Linked DNA regions of Rattus norvegicus. The protein of the gene in region 7 purifies or fractionates together with the protein of the main gene of each other region. This does not show direct contact. Links are inferred from orthologs where the notes say so. Each region holds a gene or a part of one and is shown on either strand. Other genes may lie near its edges. The genes, in order: Hsp90ab1, Fbxw7, Hnrnpa2b1, Smarca4, Hspbp1, Bag3 and Hsf1.

What was found.
Region 1: the proteins of Hsf1 (region 7) and Hsp90ab1 purify together in Homo sapiens (affinity purification with western blotting; 3 studies listed by BioGRID, with this or other methods). This does not show direct contact. The link is inferred for Rattus norvegicus from reciprocal best matches to the Homo sapiens genes HSF1 and HSP90AB1.
Region 2: the proteins of Hsf1 (region 7) and Fbxw7 purify together in Homo sapiens (affinity purification with western blotting; 4 studies listed by BioGRID, with this or other methods). This does not show direct contact. The link is inferred for Rattus norvegicus from reciprocal best matches to the Homo sapiens genes HSF1 and FBXW7.
Region 3: the proteins of Hsf1 (region 7) and Hnrnpa2b1 purify together in Homo sapiens (affinity purification with mass spectrometry; 3 studies listed by BioGRID, with this or other methods). This does not show direct contact. The link is inferred for Rattus norvegicus from reciprocal best matches to the Homo sapiens genes HSF1 and HNRNPA2B1.
Region 4: the proteins of Hsf1 (region 7) and Smarca4 purify together in Homo sapiens (affinity purification with western blotting; 3 studies listed by BioGRID). This does not show direct contact. The link is inferred for Rattus norvegicus from reciprocal best matches to the Homo sapiens genes HSF1 and SMARCA4.
Region 5: the proteins of Hsf1 (region 7) and Hspbp1 purify together in Homo sapiens (affinity purification with mass spectrometry; 5 studies listed by BioGRID and IntAct, counting the BioPlex papers as one, with this or other methods). This does not show direct contact. The link is inferred for Rattus norvegicus from reciprocal best matches to the Homo sapiens genes HSF1 and HSPBP1.
Region 6: the proteins of Hsf1 (region 7) and Bag3 purify together in Homo sapiens (affinity purification with mass spectrometry; 3 studies listed by BioGRID and IntAct, with this or other methods). This does not show direct contact. The link is inferred for Rattus norvegicus from reciprocal best matches to the Homo sapiens genes HSF1 and BAG3.

The regions. Positions count from the first base shown.
Region 1 is NC_086027.1:22,929,045-22,933,222, forward strand, and holds the start of Hsp90ab1 (heat shock protein HSP 90-beta), read left to right. Parts: upstream 1-1,378; 5' UTR 1,379-1,423; intron 1,424-2,648; coding exon 2,649-2,795; intron 2,796-2,968; coding exon 2,969-3,175; intron 3,176-3,388; coding exon 3,389-3,548; intron 3,549-3,817; coding exon 3,818-4,178. UniProt on the Homo sapiens protein: Molecular chaperone that promotes the maturation, structural maintenance and proper regulation of specific target proteins involved for instance in cell cycle control and signal transduction. Undergoes a functional cycle linked to its ATPase activity.
Region 2 is NC_086020.1:172,446,597-172,450,537, forward strand, and holds the start of Fbxw7 (F-box/WD repeat-containing protein 7), read left to right. Parts: upstream 1-1,141; 5' UTR 1,142-2,295; exon of another isoform or gene 2,296-2,329; intron 2,330-3,941. UniProt on the Homo sapiens protein: Substrate recognition component of a SCF (SKP1-CUL1-F-box protein) E3 ubiquitin-protein ligase complex which mediates the ubiquitination and subsequent proteasomal degradation of target proteins.
Region 3 is NC_086022.1:81,870,700-81,872,886, reverse strand, and holds part of Hnrnpa2b1 (heterogeneous nuclear ribonucleoproteins A2/B1), read left to right. Parts: intron 1-137; coding exon 138-348; intron 349-451; coding exon 452-553; intron 554-638; coding exon 639-719; intron 720-1,321; coding exon 1,322-1,384; intron 1,385-2,038; coding exon 2,039-2,158; intron 2,159-2,187. UniProt on the Homo sapiens protein: Heterogeneous nuclear ribonucleoprotein (hnRNP) that associates with nascent pre-mRNAs, packaging them into hnRNP particles.
Region 4 is NC_086026.1:28,464,319-28,467,818, reverse strand, and holds part of Smarca4 (transcription activator BRG1), read right to left. Parts: intron 2,555-3,500; coding exon 2,296-2,554; intron 1,058-2,295; coding exon 931-1,057; intron 469-930; coding exon 295-468; intron 1-294. UniProt on the Homo sapiens protein: ATPase involved in transcriptional activation and repression of select genes by chromatin remodeling (alteration of DNA-nucleosome topology).
Region 5 is NC_086019.1:78,211,067-78,214,566, reverse strand, and holds part of Hspbp1 (hsp70-binding protein 1), read right to left. Parts: intron 1,391-3,500; coding exon 1,235-1,390; intron 1,133-1,234; coding exon 1,036-1,132; intron 1-1,035. UniProt on the Homo sapiens protein: Inhibits HSPA1A chaperone activity by changing the conformation of the ATP-binding domain of HSPA1A and interfering with ATP binding. Interferes with ubiquitination mediated by STUB1 and inhibits chaperone-assisted degradation of immature CFTR.
Region 6 is NC_086019.1:192,553,960-192,557,459, forward strand, and holds the end of Bag3 (BAG family molecular chaperone regulator 3), read left to right. Parts: intron 1-2,013; coding exon 2,014-2,820; 3' UTR 2,821-3,322; downstream 3,323-3,500. UniProt on the Homo sapiens protein: Co-chaperone and adapter protein that connects different classes of molecular chaperones including heat shock proteins 70 (HSP70s), e.g. HSPA1A/HSP70 or HSPA8/HSC70, and small heat shock proteins (sHSPs), e.g. HSPB8.
Region 7 is NC_086025.1:110,100,710-110,104,165, forward strand, and holds the end of Hsf1 (heat shock factor protein 1), read left to right. Parts: coding exon 1-5; intron 6-138; coding exon 139-408; intron 409-846; coding exon of another isoform or gene 847-930; intron 931-1,643; coding exon 1,644-1,749; intron 1,750-1,826; coding exon 1,827-1,892; intron 1,893-1,962; coding exon 1,963-2,032; intron 2,033-2,111; coding exon 2,112-2,317; 3' UTR 2,318-2,956; downstream 2,957-3,456. UniProt on the Homo sapiens protein: Functions as a stress-inducible and DNA-binding transcription factor that plays a central role in the transcriptional activation of the heat shock response (HSR), leading to the expression of a large class of molecular chaperones, heat shock proteins (HSPs), that protect cells from cellular insult damage.

The DNA.
Region 1 (4,178 bases), on a different chromosome or scaffold from region 7:
CAAGCTTCCAGATGCAGCCTTGGAAAACCGCAAGGCTAGATTGCCAGCTGAAGGACAGGCAAGGCATGGCGGGTCACCTCCAGAACCAAAACACTGGTGCAACTTGGTTCTGGCTCCTGGAACCCGGCCAACCTGTGACCAGCATCTTCATGCGGATACCTTAGAGCTCTCGTTAATCTGCAAAGACCGTGACCTCCTCCTCTCTAGGTTCAAAGAGCTGCAGTAGGGAAGAGGGCTAGCTAGAAAAGCGAAACCAGCTTGAGAAACAGCTTGTGCTCGCAAAGGGAAGGCACATGTCCCCGCGCGCCTTGTACGTGGGCGACCCGGGAGGCTGAGGGTTGGGGAGTGTTCTACCCAGTAGCGTTCGGTTTCCCGTCTCTGTTCACAGAAAGGTGTCCGCAGTCACTCACCCCCACAGCCCCCGTGCCCTGTGACCGATCCAGGTCAGCCATCCCTCCCCCCTCTGCGCTCCACACCTCCACAGTAATGTGGGCCTTCCAGGGCCACGAGTCGTACAAACGTAGCCCATGGTACAGAGACTTGGGGAAAATATTTCCCCAGGTTAAGATCGTGGCAGAGAAAAAGAACCAGCCGAAAGGCGATGAAGACACAGCCCCCGCCGCAGCAGGGGAGGTGGAGCCTCGGGGGGAGGGGTTGAGACCGCCGAGACAGGCCTAGAAACTGCTGGAAGAAATCGAAGCACCGCCACTGCTGCTCCTTCCGCCACAGGCCGCCAAAGAGTCCCTGCTAGCCCAGGCCCGCGCCCCTCCCCTCGGAGAAGCTGCTCCCCGCCTGCCGCTTCGCTGTACCGGGGAGGGTGGGGATCAGGGACTCCTTAAAGTTGGACAACGAATTTCTTATCATCCTTTTCTCTCGATGTGCGATTTGTAGGGAACATTCTAGTAAGATCGGGTCTGAAAATGGCAGCCGAATTGGTCACCTCCGTTCTCTTTCAGAAGTCCCTTGAGGACTGGACTCTTGAGGGTGGGAGCGCCTACATCGAATTTTCTGCGCGAGTCCGTGGGGTATTCGCCGCAGATACATCCCCTAATAGCATATGCATGCTCCCTGGCCATCTTGAGGGCTACATGTCCTACTCATGCAGAAATGAGGGTACCAAACGCTATTGAATTGGCCTTGACTCGCAGCCCAGGCCCGGGGTCCCGCTCTTCCCCGCCCCCTCCCCGGTCTGCGAGCATGACGTCAAGGTGGGCGGGCGGTGGCAGGTGCGTGGCTGGCAGCCACTCCTTTAAGGCGGAGGGATCCAAGGGCGGGGCTAGGGCTGTGCTTCGCCTTATATAGGGCGGTCGGGGGCGTTTGGGAGCTCTCTTGAGTCACCCCCGCGCAGCCTAGGCTTGCCGTGCGAGTCGGACGTGGTCCGGGCCCACCCTGCTCTGTACTACTACTCGGCTTTCTCGTCAAGGTAAGGCCGCGCTCTCCTGTACTTGGCGGCTCCGTGGGTCTTCTTCCTGGGGTCTCCGCCAACATCTCATCTGAACTAAAGGCTCCTTGTTGGGCTGGGCGGTCTGCGGGGATAATGTGCCTAGAATGTCTCCAGTGGCTCATGGTGGACCCCGGCGGGCTTGCACCGCGAGGCTCCCCCGGGGCCGGTGGATTCCCCAGAGCGTGAGGTGGGGGTGCGGCCGGGCCAGGTGGTGGGCGGCCGCACGTGGTAGCCGCCGACCCGGGACGCTGCCATGTTTGCCCTCCACTTCCGGGCGCGGCTGCAGGGTCCATAGGGTCCGCGCGGTGGCGGGCTGCTATGTGCATGACTCAGCAAGACGAGGTTGGCCTGGCTACCTCCCCCGGACGCGTTTCCCAACGTGTTTTGTTCTGGGGAGGGGTACAAGGGTTGGCAGGAACGCTTGAACCCACTGCGTTTGTCCCTTTCCAGATCTTTCTGCTGCCCTCCCCGTGGAGTGGGAGGAGAAACGGGGAGGGAGCAGGTACGGGGAGATTCTTAGGTCCCTCCCTTACTCCTCCCCTCCCGGGAGCTCAGATTGTTCTGGAAGCCTCGGGCGCCCCGCCCCAGTGCCCGGATGCTGGGGCGGTGGGAGGGCTACAGTGGCGCCCCCTCCCCGTGAGTCTCCTGGCGACGCATGTCCGGGTCGCCGGACGGCTGGGCCACCATTTTACTTGTGTTTGGGCCTATGCAAGTCTGCACAGTTCAGCGTTCATGGTGGAGCTTTTTACCTCTTTGTCCTGATTTAATTGCCCTTTGAGTCCTTCCAGAACTATAGCTTCGGGTTTTCTTGCCCTGCCGAGGGGAAGAGCACAAATCCGTTTACGGGAGGCTGCTCTTTCTGTTAAAGTTGATACTTAACCCCAGTGAAGAATGAAGAAGAAATTGGGGATCTTATTGTATAGTTAACTCAGTCTGGATTTTTACTATATCGGCAGGTGTTCTGTTCTGAGTCAGGGAGCTGAACTCTTAATATGCCGTTCAAAAAGTCTGACATTTGGACATTAGTTTGAAGAGCCATCCTTTGGGTTTTTTTCCATTCTTGATTTGTCTTGCCACTGTAGCTTTAAGGTCTTTCTTTTATTTCTTTCTTTTTTTAAACAAATGGCGGTTCTAGTCTTGGGAATGGGTACTACCCAGATTAAAGAAGTTTGAACTGAACTTTTAATAAGACTTTCATTCTTAGATGCCTGAGGAAGTGCACCATGGAGAGGAAGAGGTGGAGACCTTCGCCTTTCAGGCAGAAATTGCCCAGCTGATGTCCCTCATCATCAACACTTTCTACTCAAACAAAGAGATTTTCCTCCGGGAGTTGATCTCTAATGCTTCTGATGTGAGTGTTCTGTTGAATTTCTAAGACGCCACAGAAGAGTGTGAGTGAGTGAGTGAGTGTGAGAGAGAGAGAGAGAGAGAGAGAAGCAGGGAGTGATTAGAGTAATCCAGCAGTTGATGAGAAGGAACTGTTTGGATAAATGGAATAAGTGGCTGTGTACGTGTACATTACAGGCCCTGGACAAGATTCGGTATGAGAGCCTGACTGACCCTTCCAAGTTGGACAGCGGGAAAGAGCTGAAGATTGACATCATCCCCAACCCTCAGGAACGCACGCTGACTTTGGTGGACACAGGCATTGGCATGACCAAGGCTGACCTCATAAATAACTTGGGAACCATTGCTAAGTCTGGTACAAAGGCGTTCATGGAGGCTCTCCAGGTGCGTGTGTGGCCTTCCACCCATGCCATTCTCAATTTGTTACTGCTTCTGGCTTGCTAATTTAAAACTTGTCAGACTAGGATGTGTGGTCTGTCTTTCTAATAAGTACTTGTGGCCTAGATTCTGGAAGTTGAACTGATTACTACACTTGCTCAGCAAGCGGTTGTGCTTGTACAAGAACAGTTTTGCTCACTCTCTTACAACCCTTTGCAGGCTGGTGCAGACATCTCCATGATTGGGCAGTTTGGTGTCGGCTTCTACTCTGCCTACCTGGTGGCAGAGAAAGTGGTTGTGATCACGAAGCACAACGATGATGAGCAGTATGCCTGGGAGTCTTCTGCTGGTGGATCCTTCACTGTCCGTGCAGACCACGGTGAGATGGCAGTCTACGTTGGGTTGGTAGAATTCTCTGGGGGAAAGCCAGAAAGAAGCAGCCTTAATAGTTACTGTACTCTATAAAAGTACATTTTTGAGGGGTGAATGGCAGCACTTGGGACATGGCATACACGGGTGGTGGGTGAGTTGAGGCAAGCCAGGGCTGTGCAGAAACAGATCGCTTGAGAAACCAGGAACAAAAAAGAGGTGTACCTGTTTGTTGAGTATTTTAGTTGCAGTTTTTCATGTCTGGTTCACTCTCTGTAGGTGAGCCCATTGGCCGGGGTACCAAAGTGATCCTTCACCTCAAAGAAGACCAGACAGAGTACTTAGAGGAGAGGAGGGTCAAGGAGGTGGTGAAGAAACACTCACAGTTCATAGGCTACCCCATCACCCTCTATCTGGAGAAGGAACGCGAGAAGGAGATCAGTGATGATGAGGCAGAGGAAGAGAAAGGGGAGAAGGAGGAGGAAGATAAGGAGGATGAGGAGAAGCCTAAGATTGAGGATGTGGGATCTGATGAGGAGGATGACAGCGGCAAAGATAAGAAAAAGAAAACAAAGAAGATCAAGGAGAAGTACATTGACCAGGAAGAGCTGAATAAGACGAAGCCCATCTGGACCAGAAA
Region 2 (3,941 bases), on a different chromosome or scaffold from region 7:
TATTTCCCAGACCAGAATCTGTAAGACAAACGGCTTAATAGATTTATTAATAACATACCTCTACCCCCCCACCCCCGGCCGCTAACACACACAGTGGGAGAGGGAGGGAGGAAGGGAGAGAGGAGAGGTATTGAGACTTGAGAGTCGCCAAAATGTTTTGAAGACGGTAAGGGGCACTCTGATGAACAAAATCAGCTCTCTAAAAAGTTCCCCCAAATCTAAACGACAAACAAGAATGACTCTTAAAAGGGAGGCTGTTTTCCAACCCTAGTAATTTCGCCTCCTTTCCCACAAAAGCCTGAAGTTGCGACTCTCAACAAACAGCCTCTCATCTCTTTCCTTTCATTGCATGTGGCGGGTGGGGGTGAGGAGGGAGATGTATTACAACTCTCACGTTTCTACACTTCAATTTACAAAACGCTTGCGCTTCCACCATCACCTCGGAGTTCCGCTAAGGCTGTGCTAGAGGCAGGCTTGTATACACTTATACACACACACACACACACACACACACACACACACACACTCACTCACTCACTCACTCACTCACTCACTACACAGAATGCAGCGCCAGGTTTCACCCCACGCCACGGGAAGGGTGGGGTGGCTCGCTCCGGGGAGCAGGTGCAACCTCTGGGCTGTAGGTTAACTTTTCCACCCGTCTCTCTGTTTGAAGATCTGCTCCGGACCAAATGCCTCACCTTCGGGTGGTGCGCGCCCTAGCCCGGTCCCTGGCCTCCTCCTCACTCCCAGAGGAGCAGTTCGCACCTGCCCCGGAGGGAACGGCTACGGAGCTCTCTCTCCGCGCCCTAGGGTCAGGGGTAAGATTAGGCGGTAGCTTAGGCTCGCCTGGGCTCCTCCCCTTCCTCTCTTCAGTTCTGACGCGGCCGTAGAGGCGGCGGCGGAGGCAGCGGCGGCGGTAGCAGCAGCAGTCCCGCGGCCCGAGGCGCACCCACCCGCTCCCAGATCTCGACTTCCTTTTCCCTTTGTGCGTCATCAGAACGCGCCACAGCCTCCCAGGGCGGGGTGGCTGGAGATGGGGAGAAAAGGCCAGCAAAGGAAGGCGCAGAGTGGAAGGGGAAGGGAGGGAGAGGAGAGCGGTTGCTAGGCGACTTACGTCATCGCTGGGCGCCGCTCTCCTCCCGCCCCTCTCTGGAGTGAGGCGAGAGCCCCGCACAGAGCGAGAGAGACAGCGAGCTGAGCTTCGGGCGCTGCCGCCGCCGCCGGTGAGAGCGAGTGAGTGAGCGAGCGAGCATCCGAGAGACCCGGCACCCGTGCACTGGCCGCCGCCGAGACCTTCGCCGCAGCCCGGGCCATCGGGAGCCGTGGCCGCCGTCTGCTCCCCCCCTTACCTTCCCGGCCGGCAGCGGCTGCTGCACACGCCGAAGCGGGAGCCCCAGCCAGAGCCGGAGCCAGAGCCGGAGCCGGAGCCCGCGGCCGGGGGGCAGGGAGGCGGCTGCCGCCGGTCGGGACTCGTAGCTGCTCAGCCGGGAGAGGACGCCCGCGAGGGGCTGGGCTTTCTGCCTCGCCCCGGAGTGTGGGGCGAAGGACCCCCCGAGGTGTAGGGAGGGGGTCCCGGCCGCCGCGACACATGCGGGAGCCGGGAGCGGGGGCGGCGCCGATCCGAGCCCGCCGGGTCCCCAGCCTTGCCGCCGTCCAGACCGGCCGACCCGGGCCGTAGCATCCCATAGCGGAGTGTATGAACCGGGGCCCCCAGCCCAGGAGCCACCTCCGGGCCGGGGGGGCGGGGACCCCGATGTGAAACGGCCGCGGCGGCGTGGTGAGCGGCCCGGGCGCCGCTGTCCTCTCCTTCCCCTCCCCTCCCCTTCACCCCCTCTGGGGGGCTTCTCCTTGGGCCCGCCGCCGCACCCCGGCTCCTCGGCGGGACTCCAGGAGTTCTCGGCGCCCCCTCCCCGCCCCAGCCCCCCAGGGCGGCGGGGCCGGGGGGGACTCGGGGGGCCGGCTGCAGCCTCCGCCCAGAGGAAACTTTACCCAAACAAAATCTTCGAGCTTTCTGATTGTGACTGTCCCGGGACAAGTGGCCCAGGACGGGCTGAAGCCACAGCCTGCAGAGACCCAGGAAGAGAAAAAGCGGTGAGCGGGGCTGCTGCCGCTGCCGCCGCCGCCGCCTCAGCTTCTATCCCGGCAGCGCGGAAGAGACCCGGGTAGCTGCTCCGTGGAGCGACGCTAGCACCGCTTCTTAGTTCCGCGCCTAGCCTTCCGCAGCTGCCCGCCTCAGCCCGAAGGAGGAAGGGAGCCAGCCACATTGTCAGCGCCACCGCTCGTCTCTGAAGCGTGAGTGGACCCGAAGGAGGGGGGACATTATAAGGTGACAAGTGGGAGCGGGTGGGTGCTTTGATGGTGGAGTTGGGCTGTTTCTCGGGAGGGTTGGCAGTGGAGACCTTTCCTTTCTAATTTCGGGAGAAAGCGTCAGTTTGCAGGAGTAATGCAAGTACTCGGGCGTTTTTCTTAGAGGAGCTGTGTGGACAGCTCTGTCCTCTACCTTTTTCTGGCAACCTGATTCTGGCAGTGGTTTTTGTTTCAGGGAAACTCCCATGGATTCCCACGTGGGAATCACTTGAATCAACTCTTATTTTATTTTATTTTTTTTCCTTTCCTAACTATTGTTTTTGAAGTTGCCCTGGTCAGGAAGACCAATTTTGATTTTAGTGCAAAGAGGGGTTTGGTGCCCCCAGCGCTTTATTTCATAAGTCCACAGACTCCAATGTGTAGAGTCCTTGTTTGCATGTTTCATTTGGCTCAGGAGAATCCGAGTTCCTAGGATGCACAACTCGCTGAAACTTATTTCAGGGAGAGCACTTGCAACTTCTCTCTCTCTCTCTCTTTCTCTCTCTCTCTCTCTCTCTCTCTCTCTCTCTCTCTCTCGTCATCTATTTTAAGTGATAACACATTTCTACTAGGGACTGAAAGGACATGCATGCTGCTTTTCTTATTTGGCTCTACTTGTCAACATAGAAACTTGTACTCTTTTAAGAAAGCACTTAGCACACTGAGTGCTAAATTAGAGGTACAGAAAAGTAATGTTTCAACTATGTAAGGTTAAACTAAACATCTTAAGGCAAGTACTGTGGGATTTTGTGTAACAAGGAACATAGGCAGTGTAAGACTGAGAACGCCGGTCCACCCAGACAACTAAATTTGGGCAGAATAGAGATCCTCCGTAGAAATGAATGGAAACCTGGGAGTATCCATTTATCTATCCACCCATTCTAATCTCTCCATTTAGGATCTTGATTAAATTTCTTTGAAAGTTTCTCACACTTCACAATGTTCTCCCCTCCTCTTCTTAAAGTAAGGAACCTTCAAGTTTATTATTCTGCACTATGTAACAATTTACTTCTCTTTGTCCTGCCTTCTCAATCTTTCAGGATACAGTTTCTTTGAGGAATGCTAAAACACTGTGAGCTAATCTTACATTTCTTATAGACTTTGTTTGATTTCTCCTATCATCTGTTCCAACTTTTTTTTTTTTTTTTTTTTTTTTTTTAGTTTACAGGTTTCAGGTTGTTTATTTCAGTGGAAGTTGAATAAATATATTCAGTGGTCACAGTATTGTCATCCTATCCTCTGACACAGATATATTATCTTGATCTAAAACAAAATTAATTTTTGCACATAACCAGAGGCCCATATTCCACCATGGTCTTTAATAATCAATGAACCTAACTGTGGCCCTTTGTTCCAACTTTTTTTAAAAGACAGTTTTACTATGTTACCTTGACTGTCCTGGAATTATCTCTGTAGACCAGGCTGGCCTAGTATTCACAGAGATGTACCTGCTTCTGCCTTCTAAGTGCTGGCTGGAATTAAAAGGTGTGTGTCCTGACTGCCAGCCATGTTGAAACTTTTGTGGCCCCCCAAACCCCATTTCTTTGGCTATCTTTCCCCTCTTTCTGGGTCTTCTAGCTCTTTATGTTTTG
Region 3 (2,187 bases), on a different chromosome or scaffold from region 7:
TGTGCATTTTTTGTACATGTTTCTCAATACAAACCTCTTTAAACCTATTGTAACATCTGGAGAATTTGTCTTAAGATGGACATGTAAGATGTAGTCAAGGTTTTTTCTGTCAGAATTTAACTTTGTATTTATTGTAGGAGTCTGGGAAACCAGGAGCCCATGTGACTGTGAAGAAACTGTTCGTTGGTGGAATTAAGGAAGATACTGAGGAGCATCACCTTAGAGATTACTTTGAAGAATATGGAAAAATTGATACTATTGAAATAATTACTGATAGGCAGTCTGGAAAAAAAAGAGGCTTTGGCTTTGTTACCTTTGATGACCATGATCCTGTGGATAAGATTGTCTGTAAGTGTCTAGGCACGTGAGGTGTGGTTGTATAAAAAAAATACTGGGTACATTCACTAAAAATTGCTTAGTTGGCATTAACAAATTATTGTTTTTATTCCAGTGCAGAAATATCACACCATAAATGGTCACAATGCAGAAGTTAGAAAGGCATTGTCTAGACAAGAAATGCAGGAAGTCCAAAGTTCTAGGAGTGGAAGAGGAGGTAACTATTTGTGTATATGTGTGTGTGTGTGTGTATGTGATTATTTGTCTGCATTATTGCTACTAATCAGAATATAATGTCCTAGGAAACTTTGGTTTTGGAGATTCTCGAGGTGGCGGTGGCAATTTTGGACCAGGACCAGGAAGCAACTTTAGGGGGGGTTCTGGTAAGTTTCTATTTGGAGAGCTTTTGAAGGGTGTGATATACTTGCTTTATGAATAGAAGGGCTTCAGTGAGATAAACTCAATAGAATTTGCCTTCGGCATGAAGTGTATAGTGTAGAGGAAGAGAGGAGAGGAGAGACCCTGTACTCTGACACAGTGAAAATGTCCTTTGACCACCATGTACACTGGTTCATATATGTATTCACACATGCTTATTCAGTGAACACATAAGTTTAAAAGTTAAAGCTGTATGGGATATGAGTAAGATTTGAAAAAACCCAGAAGTAGCAGGGTCCTAAAGCATCACAGAAATCCATCAACTAGGTGCTTACATGCATGGAAAATGGGTTGCATATAGGTTACACATGGTGAACACATAGCCAAAGGTTGAATGAACCCTAGCACCTGAAAACCAGACAAGATAACTGTAATTCAATAATTGGTAACAAGAGGCACACATTAAAGTACTTTGAATTCAATCAAGGCTTTGACTTTCCACCACCTGTCCCCCAACCAATATAAACTAGTGAGATTTCTAGCCATCCTCATTCTGAGATATTAGTGGGGAGAAAAATTAAGTGTAATTCTTACTTTCTTTAAACAGATGGATATGGAAGTGGACGTGGATTTGGGGATGGCTATAATGGGTATGGAGGAGGACCTGGAGGTTAGTGTTCATTGATTATGATTTCTGTATCTTAATACGCATAATAACATTGAATTTGGTGTTTGGTTTATATATCACTTTTGCCTATCAAAGTGCTTAGAGGTAGTGGTCAATTGGCTTTTAAAGATGAGTTTTGTAACTAAGCAAAGTTGGCTTTAACCTACTTTACAGTGTAAAATCATAAGTTTGAGTTTCCATTTCATAAAAAACTAATTGAACCTAGATAGGGAGTTCTGTGCTTTGTAGAAAAGCTAGAATATTGGAATTATAAGACAATGCATTTATGTAATAAGTTCTTAATATACAGGGGTATTATCTTTGTAGTCCTGGGTTTCATGTAGACCAGGCGGGCTTCACATGCAGGTATGACTGCCAAGACTTTATAAATTTTGCTAGTATGCTGCCCTTATTTCTTCCTCAAAACTATAAAGCATAAGAATTTGAAATACCGATTCAAAGGAGTTTTGTGGGATTAAAGGTTACTCTAAGTTGCTTCATGTTTACCCAAGATTAGATATTTATCTTGCCTTTGAGTCTATTCTAGAATAGACTATATAAAATATGTTTTTGAAAAACCAGAAATGAGTGTAATAAAGACAATTCAAATGGAATTGAATAATTTAAGCAATTACTTAAAGGCTTATTTTATAATAGGTGGCAATTTTGGAGGTAGCCCTGGTTATGGAGGAGGAAGAGGAGGATATGGTGGTGGAGGACCTGGATATGGCAACCAGGGTGGGGGCTACGGAGGTGGTTATGACAACTATGGAGGAGGTAATAAATTCATCTACAACCTTTATGTT
Region 4 (3,500 bases), on a different chromosome or scaffold from region 7:
CACTTCTAGATGACACATGGGAGCATGTTCCAGCCCCAGCCCCTCCTCAGCACTGTACCCTTGCTCAAGTCTCTCTGCTCAGCCTCCTCACAGAAACCTCACTGAGCTCCGTCTGTCCAAGGTGGATTCTTCTTTAAGGTCCCCGCTCCTCTTCTCCCACCTCTTGAAGCTGCCTGATATGATCCCTGCTCCTCTTCTCTTACCGTTTGGTCTGTGCACTGGCACACTGCTGTGCCCAGGACACTCTGGCTTGCAGGGAGACTCAGCAGAGTACACCCTGCAAGGCAAACACACCTGGTGCTTCTGACGACGCTTGCGTTCCTGTTCAATCTTCTGCTGCTTCTCCAGCTTCTCAGTGATGCGGGCCTCCCGCAGTGACTGCCGTTTGCTGCGCTTATAAGCCTTGGCATTGAGGGCTGTCTCTAGGGCTGTGTCTCTTCGCATGCACACCACCACCTCCTGGCGCAGCTTTTAGGGTGGAAAATGAGACACTGGCATTAAGGCATGATGGGTTTGTGCTGTCTGTGGAGATGCTCAGAGTGATGAGCACATGCTGGGCAGATGATCCTACAACAAACTGTCTGGGATGCAGAGGATGCTTGGGAGACAGCAGGTAGAACAAGCAAGGAACAGAACATAAGAGATCAGGACTTTTCTACACCCACACATACAGTTCCTGAGGGGATGTGTAAAAGCACAGTACCCTCAGGAAGAGACTCACCAAGCCTTAGCTGCCAACTGCAACCTCAGGAGCCCATACCCATGTAGGCACAGACTATGCATGGCTGGGTCGTGCCAAAGCATGAGCCATGACAGTAAACTAACTCTCCCAGAGTCCTGACTGCTCCAACCATGCAGGTATCCCAGATAACACCCCTCAAAGCATTCTTGGAGCCCAGCATCCCCACTGACCCAGGCCCACAGACCCACCTGCCTCTGGAAGTTCAGCAACCTAAGGGCCTTGAGTTCGATGGTTGCTTTGGTTCGAAGGTCCCCAGCCAGGGACCCAGGGAGGTTTTCAAGTTCCTGAATTCTGTGTGCGATTCGAGCCTGCAGCCTGGGCAAAGATAGGGAAAGAAAGGTGGTGAGGACTATTTGTCTACAAGAAGTCACCTGGTCTCTATCTTTAAAGCCAGAGTCTATAAACAGTCTGTCCTTCAAAGGAGGGGACTCTTCAAAAAAAGGACATCAGTTACCACACAGAACCTCACAAGCGGCTTCAGAGTGCTTTTGAGAACAGGCCTGCTGGGACCACAGCGAGCCTGAGACTTGACAACTCTCCTGGCTAGATTTTATTGTCAAGATGACACAACCCTGAATCATCTGCAAAGTGGGGACCTCAAATGCAAAAGTTGCTTGAGCAGACGGCCAGCCCAATGTGGAAGCATGAAAAAATTTTTTTTCTTTTCCGAGACAAGATTTCTCTACGTAGCCCTGGCTGTCCTGGAACTTGCTTATAAGAACAGGCTGGCCTCAAACTCATGAAGATCTACCTGCCTCTGCTTCCTGAGAGCTGGGACCAAAGGCATACACCGCCGTGCCTTGCCCTGACAGCACGATTCTGAGGAAGGTAGCTCTGAACTATATAGAAAAGCTGGCTGTGCATGAGTTGGAGAACAAGAGCAGTGTTCCTCCCCAGCCTGTGCTTCAGGTCCTGACTTAAGTTACTTCCCTCAGTAATGGACTGTTATCTGGAAATCCATGGGGAGATAAACCCTTTCCTCTCTAGATTGCTTTGGTGTTTCACCACAGCAATAGAAAAGTAAACTAGAACAGTGACTTAGCCAGGTGCTAATCCCATAAGGGCAGTGAGAGTTGGCCTATGGCATTAGGCAGCTCAGCTTCAGCATGAGACCCAGGGCTATGGAAATCTGCAAAGCCCATGGGCAGCATCAATGTTTTATCTACAGGTTAACCCTCCCAGTAACCTATGTGGAAAAAGTTCCCTACTTTACCTTCCTATAGTTATTTATGGAGCACCTACTGTGTGCCAAGGCAGTTTCTCATATGGAATCTTAGCTGAACAGGGGTCAAAAAAGTTGTCTGCTCTCTTGTGGCTCACAGTCCCATTAGAAAGGATACAGCAGTAAGCACTGGCAGCAATGCCAGAGTACAAGTACAAGGCAGAGAGGGAGTGGGTCCAGGAACCACAGAAATGGCCACCACCTCACTTGATGGCTAGAAGGTGTGACGCAGCCTGTGCAAAGGCTCTAGAAGGGACTGAGCCTAAGAAGACCACAGAGCATTCCCTTGTACCTCGCAATCACACTGGCAGTGTAGCACTTGGGTGCTCACCTGTACTCCCGCTCCTGTAGGATCTCCACAGGGTCCAGGCCCCGGGGCTTCTGGATGGGGGTGATGCGGCTCTGCTTCTGGTGCAATGGCACCAATGGAGCAGGCTGGGCTGGCTGCCCTGGGGACTGTGTTTGTGGTGGCATTACAGGTGAGGCAGCAGGCGGGACAGCAGGAGGTGCAGGTGAAGGGCGGCCTGTTGGTTGCGGGGGAATCAGCTTCTGTGGGGTGCTTGTGGGGGCAGCAGCATTGGCCATGGGTCCTGGAGAGGCAAGTGGAGTATGCTGCTTGACCTCTGGGCCCCCAGGACTGCCCTTCCAGCCACCTCTCACCTAGGCCAGAACCCAGACACTCCTACCCTCCAGGTCAGTTCTCCCATAGCTCTGCCCTAACCGCAAGTGTTTGGATGTTCTGTCTGGCTTCACAGCGACAGCAGGCCCCCATCTTTCCTCTATGCAAGCTCGCCCCTCCCCTTTAGCAGCTTCACCTCTGACGTTTCAATTGCCCTTGGTCAATGGCAGTCTAAAAATATTAAATGGAAAATTCCAGGAACAAATGATTACTGTCTTAATAGTGTGCTGTTCTGAATAGCTACACTCAAATTCTACTTCTGCATAGTAACTGCTTCCTCACAGCAGCATCGCAAGGGCAGGTTCGGTGCACGCTGTCCTCAGACCGTTTCCTCAGACCGATGAGTTTTTTTTTTTTTTTCTTTTTTTCTTTTTTTCGGAGCTGGGGACCGAACCCAGGGCCTTGTGCTTGCTCGGCAAGCACTCTACCACTGAGCTAAATCCCTAACCGGGCTGATGAGTTTTATCATTACTTCTTGTTACTCTGCTTGATAAACAGTGTGTGAAGGAAACAAACAGCATGCGTGGGGTTTGCTGCTTTCTCCATGTCACGTATCTACTGAGGGTCTTGGATAGTTTCTCTCTCAGAGAATGACTCTAGTTCACATCCAAACAAAGTAGATTTCAATAAGTAATGATTCACCTCAGACCAAGAAGATAGTCAAGGTCCACTGTTACAACTCAAATGAAGACCTTGAAATATCCAAATGAACTTTCCAGAGATACGTCTCAGAGGACATGGCCAAGGTCACATGCAGTTAGCAAAGTTGGCAGGATACTGAACTATTTTGCCATCTATCTACCTCCATGGGGGTGTTCTCTAGAGAAAGGGACATGCTAGACCCCATCTCCCCAAGC
Region 5 (3,500 bases), on a different chromosome or scaffold from region 7:
AGAGAAATTCTTTCTTGAAAAAAGCCAAAACCAAGGAAGGAAGGAAGGAAGGAAGGAAGGAAGGAAGGAAGGAAGGAAGGAAGGAAGGAAATCTTACAATGTGGGAGCTGGAGAGATTCTTCAGTGGTTAAGATCACTGGCTGCTCTTCCAGAGGACCCAGGTTCAATTCCTAGCACCCATACAGTGGGTCACACCTGTCTGTGATTTCAGTTCAGAGTTTCTGACACTCACACACAAACGTACATTCAAGGTTTTACTTTACCGATGAACATAATATAAAATGATATATATTTTAAATTATATATAATATATATTATATATATGAAATCTTACAGTGCTTTAAGTTTACAATTCTGTATTGGGCAGTGTTGTGTTTTATAAAAAGATAAGGAAAGAGAAAATGTGTTTGGTGGATGTGTAGTTAGGTATGGGGGAAGGGTACTTCCACAGGCCCATGCTGAGGCATCCCTTCCTCCTGAGGGACCAGCTACACAATCCTATAGTATAGAATAGAGTTTATTCAGGGCCTGGAGAGGGCAGTTGAGAGGGTAGTAAAGACAGAGAAAGGCAGAGAAGGAGGAGGGAAAGAGAGGGGAGGGGAGAGGCGTGGAGGCTGGCCATAAGCAGTCATAAGCACGTGGAGAGAGGTGGAGGAGAATGGGGAGAGGGGGTAGCCTCTTTTATAGTGAGTCAGGCATACCTGGCCTTTGCCAGGTAACTGTGGGGCAGAGCGTAAACGAAATGCTAACAGGCAGCATTCTGGGTACATGTGGCCTAAGGCCTGCAGGATGAAAAGGCCAAGAACACTAATTTGTTCACCCTGAGAACTGTAAGAAGGGTTTCTCCCTCCCAAGAACTGAAAAGAGATGCACTGTGTGATCCCTGCACCTCTCTGACCTACAATCTTTTTGTGTCCCACAGAGTTAGTTCCAGTGCAGGGGGGTCCCAGTATAGGAACAGACTAGTGCCTGAGCTGCTCTTTCTGTGAAAAACTCATACAAGGCCCTTTCCTCCTAGAACCCCAGCACACCTACCTGCACAGGGCTCCAAGCACATGCTCATGGAAAGGACTGTGTTCTGTCCTCACAAGGGCCACCAGCTGCTGGACCATCCCCATGGAGCAAAGGGTTCCTGGGGGAAGAGCTGTGGGAGTCAGGAAGGACGTTCCCATACCACTCCCATGTTTCCCAGATGTCTTTCTCAAGGCATCTGTTAACCTGTCAGCCAGCTCACCTTTGTGCTCAGGGTGGCCCACCAGCAGGTTCTGCAGCAGGAATGCTGACTTGACCTTGAGCTTCTGCACTTGCTGCTGCATGGCCCGCATCAGCACTGAGAATCCATCCAGGCGGAGGAACTGCAGCAATCCAGCCTCCTGCTCTCGGACAAGACCTGGAGAGAGAAGCAGAGCTCTGAGGTCCCAGTCACCATGGCCTCCATCATCACCAGAAACACCAACATGCCTATCGTGATGATCATCAGTACTATACCCATCACCACCATCGCAGTCACTACAACTATCAACACCACCCATTCACTATTATCATCAGTGCCATCACAATGAGCATCATTTCTAGCACTATCCCCAGCAGCAGCACCACAATACCATCACCATTACTAAACCCATCAACATCACTGTCACCACTGTGACCACCACCACCATTTCCATTAACCACCACCATCCCCTCTATCACCATTCCTACAGCCAGGAACAACACCCTCACCACTATATCACTATTACCGCGGAAACCAGCGTTATCATCATTACGTAATTGCTACTTCCATCCACCCAGCACCACAATCACTGTTAACAGCACTATCATCACAATCACCACTTCGACCATCAGTACTATGACCACCATGACCACTATCATCACTATCCACTGTCAGCAGCAGCAGCAGCATGACCACCACTGTCACCATCATATAGTAAGTAGTTCACCATCATAACCCATATTTCACTCTCTTAATGCATTTAACTCAGCGGTTTTTAGCATGTTTACAAGCAATGCAACCACTGCTATCACTTGACTCCAGAACATTTACATTGTGCCGGTACCCAGTGGATGACACTCCCATTCTCAGTTTGCTTCCTGCTCTGCCACCACCGATCTAGTTTCTTTCCCTATGGATTTGCCTACCTTGGATACCTCATATGAATGGACTCACACAATATGGAACCTTTGTATCTAGTCTTGTTCACTCAACTGTTTTCAAGGTCCATCCATGTTATAAATCCTGTAACTACTTCATTTCCTCTTACAATAGAGCAATACTTGATCATAGGGGATGTAACTTGTCTTTTGCTACTTGGTGGATTCTTCTTTCTTCCATCCTTCTCCGGCCCTTTTCTTTCACCCCTTCAATCCCCTAACACTGGATAAAAGAGGAAAAAAGGATAGAGAGGAAAGGAAAGAGATCCCTCAATAAAGTCAGAGATTGGAAGGGGGGCGGACAATGTTTTTGTTAGACTACTTCCTGCTGATTAAGGTGTTGAGTTCCTTGGGGCAAGATTGATCTTCAATGTCAGTATCTAATTTCTTCTTGTTTCTTCTTTGTGTCCCACTGACTACTTAACAAACCATGACCGACAGTAGCCAACAACCACCCCTGCCTCTTGGAACCCCCGAGCATTTACATATCCTCTGATAAGTTCCCGAATTACAAACATCAAACAATCACAGAAACTATCTGCAGCTGGTAAAACCACGCCCCTGTTAGAGCATGAGGCAAATCATAGCTGCTTTGGATAATCTGAAGCAGTCCCATTCCCCACAACTGGGATTAAAACGAAAACATATTCTTATAATATTTTCATGTTTTTTAGAGAAGCCAAATTTCCAAAGTTGTCGCTAGAGAAGCACACGTTTTTATGCAGTTACCTTTTACTTTTGACTTATACCTATAGGTAAGTAGGTTCCCTTGGGCTCCCATTTTATCTATTTGCTCATTCATTCAGCTGTTTACTTATTTTGGGTCTTTTTCTGTTTGTGTACATAATACGTGTATGTTTATATGTGTTCTTGTGTATACATATGCACGTGCATGTGGAACTCAGCAGTCATGTCTGATCTTGTCCAGAGTCACTGCCCACCTTGTTTATTGTGACAGGATTTCTCACTGAACCTGTAGCTTCCCCAGTCACAATAGGCTGGACAGCTAGAGACTTCCAGGGACTCCCCATTCTCTGACTCCCCTGCTCTGGGATTACAGCCCCAAGCCTCCATGCTTGGCTTGTTACATGGGTACTGGGCATCTGAACTCAGGTTGTCATGCTTGCAAGCATTTTACCAACTGAATCATTTCCCCAGACCTTATGGGTTTTTTGTTTTGGTTTGGTTTGGTTTTTTTGGTTCTTTTTTTCGGAGCTGGGGACCGAACCCAGGGTCTTGCGCTTCCTAGGCAAGCGCTCTACCACTGAGCTAAATCCCCAACCCTGAACTTATGGGTTTTAAGATGAGGTTTCATATATTTCAGTCTGGCCTCCAACTCACTCACAGCC
Region 6 (3,500 bases), on a different chromosome or scaffold from region 7:
CTTTGTTGAGACAGTCTCTTATGCACCCAGGCTGGCTCCAAAGTTGCTGTATGCCTGAGGATGACTTTGAACTTCTGACCCTCCTGCTTTTGTTTCCCTGGTGCTGGGGTTATGCGGTGCACCCCTGAGTTGGGTTCATGTGCTGGTGTCAAACCCAAGGTCTTTTACACACTGCTCAAACACTGGCAGTTGACTTACAGCCCCAGTGGCCCCTGCCACCCCCAGTAATGCTTGCCGCTCTCACTTCCTGTCACTTCTTTCTCTGTATCATCTACTCACTCTAACTATTGCTTGAGAATTGCTTGCAACTAACACGCCTTTCTGGATACGTGAGCAAATATTTTCCCTAAGAAATACAACCAGAGTAGAATGGCCAGATTCTGGAAATTTAATATTCTTCCAATAGCATATTATCCAGTTTACCACCCACTTTCAAATTTCCTACCCAGCACTTTCCCCTTTGGGGGTCTGATCCAGGAGTGCAAACACTGACTTTAGCTGTCACTTCCCTTTAGTCTCTGGCACGGTTCCTCAGCCTCTCGATGCTTCATGACCTTGACATTTCTGAAGAGCAGAGGACACCCTTTCCTAAGTTTATCCTTACACAGCCTTTCCATTGCTTTTAAAACCCACGGTGGGATGGCTGCGAGGAGGCGGGCTGAGCGGTGAGGGTTGATGTTGGGCAGGAAGCACTTGGTGGGAATGGAGCACACCAGCGAGATAGCCACCCACTCGGGATTCAGTAATCCCGGAAGGAGTGGTGAGAATTCCCCTGGGGACTGCCCCGTGTTTCCTGTAGTGAGTGAGGGAGCCTTTAATCCTAGTTCGACCTCTACTGACCTTGAGTTTGGTAGCCTTTCTTTTACTTCTTGTTCAAAGAACCGTTTTTTTAGAGTGTTGAAGGATTTAGCTTATCTGAACATGAAAGTAGAAAGAATTAAAGCTCTACCTGGGATGGAGTAGTATAGCATTTCTTCTCAGTTGATGAAACTGGGGCATGAGAGGGTTTGGAGTCCGGGTAATCATTTAGATGCTAGAAGAGCCCCACTCGGTTCCCATTTGGAGCATGGTTTGTATTTTAAAATATGACCTTGACCTCAGTCCCCTGGAAGGACTTTGCAGCCGGATGCCAGTGTAAAGCATCATATCACAGCATTGCATCAATATGCAGGGCCTGAATTCTTCCAGGGTTAACTATTTCGAGCATCTTGCTTTATTTTAAAAAAAACAAACTGGTCCGAGCAGAAAGCACTAGGCTGTTACAAGTCACCTTGAAAGGGTACCCAGGAAGTGAGACTTTTTACAGCAAGACCCGAGGCAGCATCTCCGGCCCAGGGCTGAAGTGGAGTCAGTTAGAAATTACTCTGAGCAAACCCCACTGAGCAGCCAGCATGCTGTTTCATTTTTGAAAATGACAGTGGCTGGCTTTCCTTGCCTGTAAGACAGAACAAGCAGGTAGTGAGCCAATCACTGGAAGCTTAGCAGATAATTTGGTCACATTCATGATCAACATCCAGTTTGCATTTTGGTTGGTGGCTGCCCTCAAAAAGATCTCAATATGGGCATAGAGAAATGGCTCGGCTCTTGATTAAGTATGGTTCCCAGTACCTGTGTGGGTGCCTCACAACTTCCTGTAGCTCCAGTTCCAGGAGATCTGACTCCCTCTTCTGCCTTCCAAGGGCATTGACATACATACAGATCGCATATACATAAATACAAATAAAATTTTTTAAAAATCTTTTTTTTTTAATGAACGTCATTTTCTAGGCTCTGTGGATAAAGAGCTTGCAAGCCTGACAGTCTGAGCTCGGTTCCCAGAACCCACGGAGAGGTGGAAGGGTAGAATGGAAGCTGTCCCCTGAGATCCACGTGTACACGGGTCACAAGTGCCTGCAAACACACAATTAAAAGAGTTATTTCCAATTTCCTTTTTTTTTATTTCTTTGCTTGCTATTAACTGTGAATTATTGCTTTAGGCTGTTACAAAAAGTTTGTGTCCTCCTTTCTCAACAGCCCATGACCCATCGAGAGCCTCCCCCTGTCACCCAACCCGAAAACAAACCAGAAAGCAAGCCAGGCCTAGCTGGACCAGATCTCCCTCCTGGACACATCCCCATTCAAGTGATCCGCAGGGAGGCCGACTCTAAGCCTGTTTCTCAGAAACCACCTCCTCCTGCTGAGAAAGTGGAAGTGAAGGTCTCCTCTGCCCCAATTCCTTGTCCTTCTCCCGGCCCCGCCCCTTCGGCTGTCCCTTCTTCCCCGAAGAATGTGGCTGCAGAACCGAAGGCAGCCCCCAGCCCTGCCCCTGCAGAGGCTGCATCCCTCAAGTCAGGAGACGCCGAAGCGCCCCATAAGCATCCAGGCGTGCTGAAAGTGGAAGCCATCTTGGAGAAGGTGCAGGGGCTGGAGCAGGCCGTCGACAACTTTGAAGGCAAGAAGACTGATAAAAAATACCTGATGATCGAAGAGTATTTGACCAAAGAGCTGCTGGCCCTGGATTCCGTAGACCCCGAAGGACGAGCTGATGTCCGTCAGGCCAGGAGAGATGGCGTCAGGAAGGTTCAGACCATCTTGGAAAAACTGGAGCAGAAAGCAATCGATGTCCCGGGTCAGGTCCAAGTCTATGAACTCCAGCCCAGCAACCTTGAGCCCGAGCAGCCACTGCAGGAAATCATGGGCGCCGTGGCAGCCGACAAGGATAAGAAAGGTCCTGAAAACGAAGATCCACAAACTGAAAGCCAACAGCTAGAAGCCAAAGCCGCCACGCCTCCAAACCCCAGCAGCACAGCAGACTCGGCTGGCAACCCGGTGGCTCCCTAGGGTCCGCGTTGTAGAGACTTTTTAAGATGCATGCACTGCGGGACTTGCAGTCAGCTGGTTGTCTTTATTCATAGCCGCTTGGTATGCAGTAACTTGGGGTGGAGGCAAAGCGCTAACCAAGGGGGCTTCTCTTCCCTATTCTTACCCGTATAAATAAACAAGTTGCCCGTTCCAGAAGTCTAACCCCTCTGCTTGTTTGGGAGCCCTTTCTGTGCATGGGTATGGTGATTTAGCCTTGGCTGTGGGCTGTCTTCCTGTTAGCTCTGGACCGTAGGGGGTTTTAGGTTTTGAGGGATAGGCAGAGAGTTACAGGAACAAGAAACCCGTCTTTGAGATGTGCCACCATTTTGATGAGATAACCTTCATTTCGTTACTGAAACATCTAACTTCAGCTACAATGAGATATGCAAGGAGCCGTAGAAATAGATCTACGTTGGAATGGCTTTAATGTTGTTACATTTCGGGGAGGGGGACAGAAAATAAAGCGATTGTATAAGTCTCAGTGGTTTTTGTGGTTTCTAAGAGTTTGAAGAGTGACAAATAGCATCAAGGTTGTTCCAGTGGGGGACCCCATATAACAAACTGGGCACAAATAACCCATCAAGGAGCTCGGTGAGAGTGTTCTTGTCTCAAAATATGAGGTAAAGAACAATCGAGGGCGACGGCCCACGTTGACCTCT
Region 7 (3,456 bases):
GAGAGGTGGGGCTGCAGTACCTTTATCCCTCCTATCACCTTAGTGGGTCAGCCTTTATGGACCTTGGGGCAGAGTTGGAAGTGGGTGGAGCTAACTCAGGCTCCTTCTAACTTGTCTGTCATTGTCTAACATGTTCAGGCCTCTGTCCAGCAGCACCCTGGTCCGTGTCAAGGAAGAGCCCCCCAGCCCACCTCATAGCCCTCGGGTACTGGAGGCAAGCCCTGGGCGCCCAGCCTCCATGGATACCCCTTTGTCCCCAACTGCCTTCATTGACTCCATCCTTCGAGAGAGCGAACCTACCCCTGCTGCCTCAAACACAGCCCCTATGGACACAACCGGAGCCCAAGCCCCTGCACCCCCAGCCCCCTCCACCCCTGAGAAGTGCCTCAGCGTAGCCTGCCTAGACAAGTGAGTGCTGTGCCCACCCTGCCTCCCTATAGCCTCTGAACCCCAACAGCATGGGATTTCCTCAGGCTGGGCACGGGGTACCTATGTCTTAGTGAGGCACAATCCCTGCAGTTTGCTGGGAGTTGATGGGTTGGATCTGTTCTCCTAAACCTGAGTGAGGTTGAAGCTGGGGAGGGAGACCAACCATATCACTAGAAATGGGATATGCCCCTGCCTCTTGGGCCCCCCTTACTACTGCCATCACCCTCTCTTGTGGCAAGCCCCAAGATCTTTGGATCTGTCATTCTCCCTAGACCGACACAGGAAATGATGAGTTAAGGTCCAGCCTTGACCACCACCCCTCAGGCACATCCCAAAGGCTGAGTGAGCGAGGACGGTGGGCATAGATCCCCCGTCCCCCGCCTGCAATGGGGGGGCTCTTGTCTTTGTATCTTGCAGTTTGGCTCGCGCTCCACAGATGTCTGGGGTCGCCCGCCTCTTCCCCTGCCCCTCTTCCTTTCTGCATGGCCGAGTCCAGCCAGGGTTAGCGCTGCCCCCACTTGGGAGGGAGGAGGACTCCGCCAGGCCCCCTCCCACAGCCATGGACCAGTTCCCAACCCGGGCATAGCACTTGCCCTGCCTGGCGAAGAGCACCAGGGAATGGTCTCACAGGCTCTGCATCTCCACTGACTCCCTTTGCACCAGCCAGTGGCCGTAATAGGGACAAGTTTCCTGCCTGCCCCAGCTACCAGTACAGGCTGCTACGATGAGCTTCCTGTCAGAGTAGGGCAGGCCCCATGGCACCTACAGAGCCATTTTAACTGCCTTGCCCATGGCCTAAGGCCTCTGGTCTAAGGGAGGACTACCCATGCCAAGCACAGTCCTGTTTCCTCTCCTTACTCTATTCCTGGTGCAGTGGCAAGACTATCAAACCTGAAAAATCTGCCCTCCTATCCAACAACACCTCTTTCCTTCTTCTCCATCTCCCTCTTGGCCTGCCTTAGTAACTAAAGCCTCCTAGGATGTCCTGCCCACGGGCCATGCTATATCCCTCCCTCAGCAGCCATGGAGGGCAAGCTCACTACTAGCCCTTTTGGCATCTTCCCAGAGACACACACACAGTCCCCAGCCCATGCTGGCTATGCAGAAGGACCTTGCTTGGGGGGCTGCAACCAAAGGGGAGCCCTTCTCCAGCAGGAGTGCGGCTGGGTGGGAGCCTGGGGCATTAGTTCACCTGCCCACTTGCCCTGGGCCAGGAACGAGCTAAGTGATCACCTGGATGCCATGGACTCCAACCTGGACAACCTGCAGACCATGCTGACAAGCCACGGCTTCAGTGTGGACACCAGTGCCCTGCTGGACGTGAGTCTGGTCATCCCTACCCAACCCGCTCCATCCCACCCACAAGCCAGCCCTGACTTCCCTCCCTCCTCCTGCAGCTGTTCAGCCCCTCGGTGACCATGCCCGACATGAGCCTGCCTGACCTGGACAGCAGCCTGGCCAGCGTGCGTAGGCGGGCAGGGTGGGGGGCAGAGGGGGCCATCAACAACCCTCACTGTGTTCTCTGTCCCACAGATTCAGGAACTTCTATCTCCCCAAGAGCCTCCCAGGCCTATTGAGGCAGAGAATAGTAACGCCGACTCAGGTGAGCTAAGCTTCTGTGCCCCTCCCAACTCTCACTTCCAACTTGCCCACCCCCACCATCCTGACCCCATTTCCCACAGGAAAGCAGCTGGTGCACTACACGGCTCAGCCTCTGTTCCTGCTGGACCCTGATGCTGTGGACACAGGGAGCAGTGAACTGCCTGTGCTCTTTGAGCTGGGGGAGAGCTCCTACTTCTCTGAGGGAGATGACTACACGGATGATCCCACCATCTCTCTTCTGACGGGCACTGAACCCCACAAAGCCAAGGACCCCACTGTCTCCTAGAGGTTTCAGTTGTCAGGCTGGCTTGGGCCTGGCCCCCAGCCTATTCCTAGGACACGGCTGGTCCTGGGGAGACAAGACAGTTGGGTAGTCCAGGGAATCCTAGGTCAAGCCAGCACAACCCCAGTGGAGCACAGATGGGACTTGGGCTTGGGCAGTACCTTGGATCAAGAGGAAGATCCTGAAGGCTGCATACCTGCTGCCTTCACCCCAGCCCCAGGTCTGCTCTCTGGGTCAGAGCTTCACAGCCACACTTGGACTGACCCTGCAGGTTGTTCATAAAATTGTATTTTGGATTTTTACATGAGAGTCCCCTTTAACCCTTCACAAATAAATATATATATACATACATATATATATATATATACATGCACACGGAGATGGGCAGATGATAAACAGGTTCTACTGTGGCCTCCTGTGTGTTTCCTCCTGCCCTGAGGGATCTGGAAGGTGGGGATGTAGGCAGGGAGTTCAGAACTTACTACATGTCTCCTTGGAAAAATACAGATACCTGTGATACCCCCTAGACCAACCTTGATCTACAGAACTAGTATTTGCTCACAGCTTTTTCTTTAGGGGACCAATCTGGCCCATGCTGTTGTCAGCAAGAGTGTTCTGCATGGCCATGCTGGACACGTTGGCAGAGCCAGGCCCTTATCTGTCAGGCACTGGGCTGCTTCTGAAGTTGTTCCTGCTGTCTCGTCTCGCACTGGGGGAAAGCAGGTGGAAATGGCCTCACAGGTGGCCTAAGGCAGCCAAATTTACTGCCCACCCTGCCTAGCACCAGGTAACCACCTAACTGCAGGTTAGGGTCTGTAGCCTGGCAGACTCTAGCGGTAGATAAGCACAAACCTCACCAAGGCAAGGACGAAGACCTTGGATTGTCAAAAAGACTCTTATATAAAAGTCCTCTGTCTAATTTGGCAGCTACTAAAACTTGGGGCAGAGTATTCACTCTCTTCAGAGCTCTATGTCAGAGCCAAGGGTAGTTTGGAAGAGTGAGCCAAGCCCAGTCAAGTTTGACCTCTGCAGCACAGCCTAGAGCCACTAGCCCAACTTGTTGAGCAGCCTGATCTCAAGGAGTTGAGACAGATCCTAAAGGTACAATGTGTAGAATTCCTGGGCCCCAAGCAGTGTACAAA